Saccharomyces cerevisiae S288C: one gene and its partner. The gene in region 1 interacts genetically with each later gene. Each region holds a gene or a part of one and is shown on either strand. Other genes may lie near its edges.

Evidence for each region. A genetic interaction does not mean that the proteins touch.
Region 2: mutations in HAP4 (region 1) and SLX1 together harm fitness more than expected from each alone (negative genetic interaction), as found in Saccharomyces cerevisiae (2 studies listed by BioGRID).

The regions. Positions count from the first base shown.
Region 1 is NC_001143.9:229,417-235,293, forward strand, and holds HAP4 (transcription factor HAP4), read left to right. Parts: upstream 1-2,810; coding exon 2,811-4,475; downstream 4,476-5,877. Other genes in the region: KTI12 (Kti12p), read right to left, coding at 1-464; SLD2 (Sld2p), read left to right, coding at 5,010-5,877.
Region 2 is NC_001134.8:672,785-676,727, reverse strand, and holds SLX1 (endonuclease), read right to left. Parts: upstream 1,416-3,943; coding exon 501-1,415; downstream 1-500. Other genes in the region: glucan 1,3-alpha-glucosidase ROT2, read left to right, coding at 1-371; MCX1 (Mcx1p), read left to right, coding at 1,594-3,156; YBR225W (uncharacterized protein), read right to left, coding at 3,399-3,943. UniProt on the Saccharomyces cerevisiae protein: Catalytic subunit of the SLX1-SLX4 structure-specific endonuclease that resolves DNA secondary structures generated during DNA repair and recombination.

The sequences.
Region 1 (5,877 bases):
GAGTCCCATCGGTTGCTTGAGTTAGGCTCTTCGTATCGTTGAATCAATTGATTCAATAACTCGGGTTCCCAAGGGTTCGGGTTTGAAGTCTTATTCCACTCGAATATAGTCTCTGGTGGACACAGTGTTTGAATTACACAAAATGTGGTGGACAAATTTTTCACCTCGCAGTGAAGTTGATACCGGAAACCCTTGATATAATTCAACGAGTCTACAATGACTATCTTGTTTTTAGATAGATCTCTTTTCACTGCGGAGATGATCTCCGACCTCAATTTTCTTTCATCTTGGGAAGTTATATAATCTGAATGTTTTATGCCTAAAGATTCATCTGAATGATAGGTTATGGAATATTTACTTAATGATGGGGTTGCATCGATCTTGGACTGTAGTAGTTGTACCAAATGTTTAGCAAGCGTTGTCTTACCACTACATGGGTATCCCGTAAAAAGCACCAGTGGCATCTTCTTACTAAATTGCCTGTTTAGTTTTTTCAAAAGTTTTACAAGGTCCCTTTACCCTCATTCTGATACGTTATTGTTCAAGTTTCACCTGTTCATCAAGTATTCTTCATTTCTTTTTCCATCGCGATGACGATGACAAAACGGCAAAAAGTCAAAGAAAAAGAAAAAAAAAGATTTTTTTTCCATCATATGCAGAGAGAATATGTCCAAGCCAAGCGCAGTGTGCATGTATGCTGTTTTTAGCATATCGGGTGTGCGAAAGGAATGACATAATGATTTGCAACTAATATTTCCTTATATAAATATGCTTCTGGATATGAGTCTCATGAAACAAGTTCAGTAATTGCTTGTTTTACCCTTACTTTTTTCTTGGTTATGACTTGTGTACATAATAAATTGCCTATTTTCCCAAATTGTGTCCTTTTTCCTTTCCGGTTGGTATGAGATATTTCTTTTCAAAAATCAAAAGAAAACAACAAAGGGTTGATATTATGTAATGCAATACCTAGAATCGGGAAAAACTTGTTTGTCGTACCAAGAGAGGCAGCACTGGCGTGCCTTGATTTAATATAACTCCTGAGATAGTGGGGGTTACATGAGTTGTACAGCATAAGACTCCCTCTCCCCAGTTCTGTTCGTATATGTCGGGCTTGCTTGCGAAAGCAAGGGGTTCAATAAACAGAAAACAGAGTTTTTGGATAAAGTTTAAACAACGGAAACAGAGCAACAATGAAGGAGAGAATAAGTATCAATTGTGTAATTCTGTATACCGTAGTGCACAGTACGCTGTGCGCAACTCTTGCCTAAAAAATCTAGTTATCAAGCGGGGTGAATATGCTACAATGCCTCTTTTACGTTGTACTCTATCAAGGGATGATAGCAGTGGCACATATTGATTGATACGACTTTTCGCCGCGCGGTAGGCGAAAAGCAAAGAAAACTACAGTAATATCCAGAAATAGATGCATTTTATGTGCGAAATAAAACTCATGCTGAAAAAAATAGTAATAATTAATAGGGTAACGAATAGAATGCAAACCTTATCACGTGAAAGAGAGAACAATCATAAATGATTTAGTGCGTAGGTCCAGATTTGCGAAACACTGCGGAAGGCGAGAAAAGAATTCGAATATGAAGTAGGTAGAAGCAGAGGTAGGGCCGCTATTTAAAGATATACTTTTTCTGTACGGGCCGGTGACTTCGCAGTAGTGATGTACTATGAGATCACTATTTTGCCGGAAACTGTAGGCAAAAACCGTTTATGTCTTTTTTTCACCTTACGGGATAACCTCTGCTGAGAATTTCCAAAACTAGGCATGGATGATTGCCGGAATTTGAAACCCGGGCCCCGGAGGTTGATCGCACGGCAAATACATAAGAACCTTCTCCGCAATACGGGCTTTCCTCAATTTTCTTGGCCAAAAAGCGAGTCGGCCCCGAGCTACAAATCGGGAACAACGGAGGAATAGAGCGACAAGTTGATTCGGTCGTGCAGCCCGGAAAAAAAAGGCTGTCCTGCGGGCTTTATTCACTCCAATGCCGCTGAGAGGAACACGCGTTTCGTGGGCTTTGGACCACTACCCCGGCGTTCAGAGAAACCCCCCGGGGCAGGGGTCCGAAGTCTAAAAGTTTAATCCGGAAGTAGCGACGGGGGGGAAGCCCGCCGCGCACAGATGGCCAGCACAACGGAGCGGGGCCGAGGCGGCAAACGAGGTTAAGCCCGCTGAACCTGAAAAAAAAAACGAAAATTTTCTTTCATCAAGGACTAAAGTTTTCTTATGTTACGGATCTTGCACGCGGTAAGCAATGGCCGTAGCCTTTTCACAGTTGCTTCCAAGTGTCATGTATCGATTTTGCAGATTGTTCTAAAAGTAAATGGATTGCTATTTTCTTTCCGAGACTACTCTAAAAAAATTTATTGAGTATGAGATCGTTTTTAGATAAATTATATATATTGTAAAGCTATTAACTAATCTCCTATATCAATTTCTTCTTGCTTAACCCCGTGTGGTTGTTTAGGTCCATCTCCTTTTTCCTTTTAATTTTTTTACCTTTATTAATTCCTTCACCTCTCTAAACCCCAGTTTTATATCGTATATGCTATCTACAGGTCCACTTTACACTTAATAATATAAAAATACTACTATAAAGGAACCAGAAAAATAAAAAAGGGTCATTATTTATTTGAGCAGATCATTATCAAACGCATAGGAAGAGAAAAAACACAGTTTTATTTTTTTTCCACACATATTTATTGGTCTCCTAGTACATCAAAGAGCATTTTAATGGGTTGCTGATTTGTTTTACCTACATTTTCTAGTACAAAAAAAAAACAAAAAAAGAATCATGACCGCAAAGACTTTTCTACTACAGGCCTCCGCTAGTCGCCCTCGTAGTAACCATTTTAAAAATGAGCATAATAATATTCCATTGGCGCCTGTACCGATCGCCCCAAATACCAACCATCATAACAATAGTTCGCTGGAATTCGAAAACGATGGCAGTAAAAAGAAGAAGAAGTCTAGCTTGGTGGTTAGAACTTCAAAACATTGGGTTTTGCCCCCAAGACCAAGACCTGGTAGAAGATCATCTTCTCACAACACTCTACCTGCCAACAACACCAATAATATTTTAAATGTTGGCCCTAACAGCAGGAACAGTAGTAATAATAATAATAATAATAACATCATTTCGAATAGGAAACAAGCTTCCAAAGAAAAGAGGAAAATACCAAGACATATCCAGACAATCGATGAAAAGCTAATAAACGACTCGAATTACCTCGCATTTTTGAAGTTCGATGACTTGGAAAATGAAAAGTTTCATTCTTCTGCCTCCTCCATTTCATCTCCATCTTATTCATCTCCATCTTTTTCAAGTTATAGAAATAGAAAAAAATCAGAATTCATGGACGATGAAAGCTGCACCGATGTGGAAACCATTGCTGCTCACAACAGTCTGCTAACAAAAAACCATCATATAGATTCTTCTTCAAATGTTCACGCACCACCCACGAAAAAATCAAAGTTGAACGACTTTGATTTATTGTCCTTATCTTCCACATCTTCATCGGCCACTCCGGTCCCACAGTTGACAAAAGATTTGAACATGAACCTAAATTTTCATAAGATCCCTCATAAGGCTTCATTCCCTGATTCTCCAGCAGATTTCTCTCCAGCAGATTCAGTCTCGTTGATTAGAAACCACTCCTTGCCTACTAATTTGCAAGTTAAGGACAAAATTGAGGATTTGAACGAGATTAAATTCTTTAACGATTTCGAGAAACTTGAGTTTTTCAATAAGTATGCCAAAGTCAACACGAATAACGACGTTAACGAAAATAATGATCTCTGGAATTCTTACTTACAGTCTATGGACGATACAACAGGTAAGAACAGTGGCAATTACCAACAAGTGGACAATGACGATAATATGTCTTTATTGAATCTGCCAATTTTGGAGGAAACCGTATCTTCAGGGCAAGATGATAAGGTTGAGCCAGATGAAGAAGACATTTGGAATTATTTACCAAGTTCAAGTTCACAACAAGAAGATTCATCACGTGCTTTGAAAAAAAATACTAATTCTGAGAAGGCGAACATCCAAGCAAAGAACGATGAAACCTATCTGTTTCTTCAGGATCAGGATGAAAGCGCTGATTCGCATCACCATGACGAGTTAGGTTCAGAAATCACTTTGGCTGACAATAAGTTTTCTTATTTGCCCCCAACTCTAGAAGAGTTGATGGAAGAGCAGGACTGTAACAATGGCAGATCTTTTAAAAATTTCATGTTTTCCAACGATACCGGTATTGACGGTAGTGCCGGTACTGATGACGACTACACCAAAGTTCTGAAATCCAAAAAAATTTCTACGTCGAAGTCGAACGCTAACCTTTATGACTTAAACGATAACAACAATGATGCAACTGCCACCAATGAACTTGATCAAAGCAGTTTCATCGACGACCTTGACGAAGATGTCGATTTTTTAAAGGTACAAGTATTTTGAAATAGGCATGTTGCAATAAAACGAAAACAACTAAAAATCACGAAAACAAAATGATATTATACAATAAAAAATTCTTATTATGGGTAATGATAGTATTCTTCGCCTGCTTAGGCGTCCTTTTCCTTCAACAACAAAAATTCCAAAAAAAAAAAGTAAAAAAACAAAACTTTGATTGTTTTTTAATGATGTTAATGATTTTTTTTTTCTTTCTTTATCATAAAAAAAAAGTTAAAATGAAAAACAAATATGGGTCTGGAAGGCCATTATTTTTTTTTTATTTATATACCGTTTCTGGTACTTAGTTATTTATTCTCATACATACACTATATTCAAATTACCTAAGAGCATTTTCACATATCCGTTTACTTTCATTTTTTTTTTTTTTGCTTCCTTTTTACATATCTTCCGTATATCACATCACGTTTACGCGTATGGTGAAACACGTCAAGAGAAAAATGATAAAATCAAATTTTGATTTACATCAGGCTCCACAGGACAGGGAAATCTATCTAGTGAGGCGATAACTGTAGTTCGATGTACTCATTTGAACTGGACAAATTGAAAATTGAGCTGAAAACATGGGAGCATGATTTCATTGATAAAAATAAAAGGGAACCCACAAGGGATGACATCAAGAGCCTGCGGACTGTTCGGCAGATGTATAAACAATATTCCACACTGAAGAAGAAACAATCTTTGCAACGACAAAAAGTTGACACTCAAGAGTCGGTTGAACTCCCGGCACATAAAAAAGACCACGACGAAGTCGTAGAGATAGGCCCTACTCCCCAAGTTTACGGTAAGGCGATTAGTATCTTTGACATGAATTTGTCGCCTATAAAGCCTATATACATGACATTCACAAATAATATTGATGTTAACAATGATAACTCCAAGACAATTTCTAATGAATCTTCTCCACGAAAAACTATTCTCCTAAAATCGTCGCCTGCAGATCGTACGTTAGTGGCGGAACCAATATCCAGTGTGAAACGCCAATTAAACTTTCAAATGCTAAACGCTTCTTCTACACGTACTCCGACTTCATCACCATGCAAGAATCGCAATGGGAAGTTGGTAGAAATCAAGAAATGTAGTCCAACTATTAATCCTCCACTAGAATCTGGCAAACCATCGGGGTATTATGGACCTAATTCCCCGCTAAAATTGGATGAAGAAAACATTCACCTAAACATCTCACTTAATTCAAGCACTAAACGCCGGCTTCAAATAGCATATCCATCTTTACAGAAGACTCCCTCAAAGGATCAAGCGGATATTTCAACTTCATTTAGTCCGTCTCCACTCATTAGAAGACCACTGACGAAATCCCTGATAGAATTGGCCAGGGAACATACTGAAATTGTAAAAGAATTTGGTGTCTTACAGGAAGAAGATATTG
Region 2 (3,943 bases), on another chromosome or scaffold:
CCCCTGATACCGAGGGACGAGCCGTTGGAGATCTTTATGTTGATGATGGAGAAACTTTTGGCTACCAAAGAGGTGAGTACGTAGAAACTCAGTTCATTTTCGAAAACAATACCTTAAAAAATGTTCGAAGTCATATTCCCGAGAATTTGACAGGCATTCACCACAATACTTTGAGGAATACCAATATTGAAAAAATCATTATCGCAAAGAATAATTTACAACACAACATAACGTTGAAAGACAGTATTAAAGTCAAAAAAAATGGCGAAGAAAGTTCATTGCCGACTAGATCGTCATATGAGAATGATAATAAGATCACCATTCTTAACCTATCGCTTGACATAACTGAAGATTGGGAAGTTATTTTTTGAGGGAAAAAAACGAAGTGATATCTTTACATCTTTTTAGCTCTTTCTTACAAAGTAAACGTAAAAATATCCGTAAATATAACATATAACCATTATCTATAGAAAAAAAAGAACCGAAAATTGTGTCAGGCCCTACTTCCCGTGAGCTAACTTCATTCTTGTCGAAAACTTGACTAGGGTCGTCCAGTCGCAAAACATATCACATTTCGGACATTTCCCACCTCGAGGTATCAAATTTCTTCTCCCTACCATCAACTGTTCATCATCTAGAAAGTACCTGTGAAGACATTTCAAGTGGTTAACACACCCACAGTCTTTATTATTGCAAAGCGCTACAAACGGCTTCAGATTTTGCTCTTCAGACGTGTAGTCAATTTCTTTCTCACAAATTTCACATCGCACTACCCCTGTAGTTAGTTTCTTTTCGAAAGTTTCGAATATGTTTCTTTCATTTTCAATGACTTTAGTGTATACAGCTTCCACCACTTTTAAATTCTCATCACTATGATCCATGAGAACATCCACAGTTTTCTCCTTTGGTTCTTCAAGCGCATTTTCATTTATTTGTATATTAATCGGAAATCTGTCTCTTTCAATAAAAAATTTGTCCTGTTTCCAAACCTCCCAAGCCTTTATATTAAAAACCTCGACTATCAAGTTCATCCTTTGAAAAAATTCATGCTTTAAAAGTAACTTCATTAATGCAACTTTGTGATGTAAAGTTCTTCCACCTGCTTTATGCTTTACAACACGATCTTTTTCGGCAATATAATGCGTTTGGTACCCATGTTGCCATGCATGTTCAAACTGTAAAGCTGCTATCTTACTTGGGAAGCCCCGCACAATCATTATCATTTCCCAGGGCCTTGAACCGTCACGTTTGGTTCGATATGCCCCTCCAACAGCCAATTTCCCATTATGCTGCCTCAAACGTCGTACTGGGTTAGGAGTTGATCCAACGTAAAATGATTGCCTCTTGTTAATCGATTGTAGTAGATAACAACAATAAAAATCAGGAAACTGATGCTGCTGTATTTTCTGCGACATGGTACCTTTCTTATCTTTTTAATATTTTTTGAAAAAAGAGAACATTAATTTGACAATATTTTTTCGATGATAGAAGGGAATAAGTCATCAGTGGTATATATTAAAATTAAAAAGAAAAGCAAACGGCTCATCAAACAAAACCATAGAAGACAAGGCACTCTAATTACATTTCACACTCATGTTGAAATCTGCAAGCCAAAACTTTTTTAGAGCTTATTCTAGTAGAATTGGTCGATATGCTGCTACAGCATCAGGGAAACTGGCACAGTCTCGTTTATCGAATATACCCACTCCAAAAGCATTGAAGAAATTCCTCGATGAGTACATTGTTGGTCAAGAGATTGGTAAGAAGGTTTTAAGCGTGGCAGTTTATAATCACTATTTAAGAATCAATGACAAGCAAAAGAAAGGGGAATTACAAAGGCAGAGAGAATTGATGGAACGAGAGAAAATCGCGGATGATAGGGATGAACCAATTTTCAGTGGAAACAGCGAATCAAAGGCTGGTTGGAGGAATCTTCAAAGACAGTTTAATTTAGCAGGTAGAGAGGTTGACGAAGATTTAGAGTTAAGCAAAAGTAATGTCCTTGTCGTTGGTCCCTCAGGTTCTGGTAAGACTTTGTTGGCAACAACATTGGCGAAAATATTAAACGTTCCAATTGCAATTACAGATTGTACACAATTGACTCAAGCAGGTTACATAGGTGAAGATGTTGAAGTATGCATTGAAAGATTGCTCGTAAATGCTGAATTTGATGTTGCGAGAGCAGAAAAAGGTATTATTGTTCTTGATGAGATTGATAAACTAGCCAAGCCTGCCGCAAGCATTGGCACTAAAGACGTGTCCGGAGAAGGGGTTCAACAGTCATTATTGAAAATCATTGAGGGCCATAAAGTGGAAATTACCGTTAAAAGGCCTGTTAAGCATGATATTGACGGACAAAAAAATCAAACTACAACAAAGAAGGACGAAGTATTTGTTGTAGACACTTCAAATATTCTTTTCATGATTATGGGAGCTTTTGTTGGTTTAGATAAGCATATTGTTAAAAGGATAGAAGATATGAAGAAAATACAGAAGGCAGGAGAGTCTGTTGAATCATCGAATAGTAAAGAAGTTGAAAAAGAAAGAGCGAAGAAGTTCAGATTTAGCAATACGCTTGAGCAGGTTGAATTAGATAACGGAAAAAAAGTGTGTGCTTTAGACTTGACCACCCCCACAGATTTAGTTAGCTTTGGTCTAATTCCTGAATTAATTGGCAGAGTCCCAATTATAACTGCTCTGCAGCCTCTACAAAGAGACGATTTATTTCATATATTAAAAGAACCTAAAAATGCCTTATTGGATCAATATGAATATATTTTTAAGCAATTTGGGGTAAGATTGTGTGTTACACAAAAGGCGCTAAAGAAAGTTGCTCAATTTGCTCTCAAGGAAGGAACTGGCGCCAGAGGGTTGAGAGGGATAATGGAAAGACTTCTGCTAAACGTTAATTATGATTGCCCGGGTTCTAACATAGCATACGTTTTAATCGACGAAGCTACTGTCGACTCGTTACAGGAAACAGAGCACTCTTTGGCTTCCCAAGTGGACGTAAAATACTATTCTGGTGATGAAAAGGACAGTTTAATTCGTGACGTTTCTGAAGAAGATAAAAAATTAGGAGTTATGCTAGAAAAAGAGTTGGGTCATTCTGCTAACATTCATACCCCAACAATTCCCAAGAGAAGCTTAACATAAAAAAAAATGAATGGTATAGAATATATAAATATAGATGTAATAAATGTAGTAAATGAACAAATAATCTTCCTACAAAGTACTATGCCATGGGAAGTAAAAAAAATTAATAAATATTGGCTAAAGTGTTTCAAATTGGTTCTACGATACTGGGAGACTACTCCTTATCATAATGCTTTTTGTCCAGTAGTAAAAATTGAAGTAATTCTTGAACAATTTAAAAAAAAATTGGAACGGCGGCACAATTATTTGGTATATGGCAGCTTTGGCTTTTGCGCCACCACATACAAAGTTCTAAAGCAGCCAGCGTTGTCATCGATTTTTCCTATGTGTTCTTCCACATATCTTTTGAAAAGAGTGGTGGGGTCGGTATCCTTTGGAGGACAACTACTATCTGGTAGTTGCCTCCTTAACATGTAGTCCCACATATCTAAAGAATTAAATTCATTCAAAAAGCCCATATCTGTTTTGAAGTCACCAGTTTTCAAACTTAGGACCGAGGACTTGATGCCTGTAAACCCTACATCCTTGAATGTCCTCGTTAAGTGTTTTGTAGGATGGATATGTAAGCCTTTATTTATCGCATCAATAGCCATAGCATCAAATGTCTTGTCCCGTTCTTTTGTAGTCAAAAACTCTTCTGATGAATTATTTGCTTTTTCGGCATCGGCGTTGCCAAGAATTCCAGTATAGTATGTGTTTGAAATCCTTAAATCTGGAACAATTGCCAGCGCGTACCCGCCAGGAATTATTGATCTGTATATTTCCCTAAGTAGAGCTTTCCATTTAT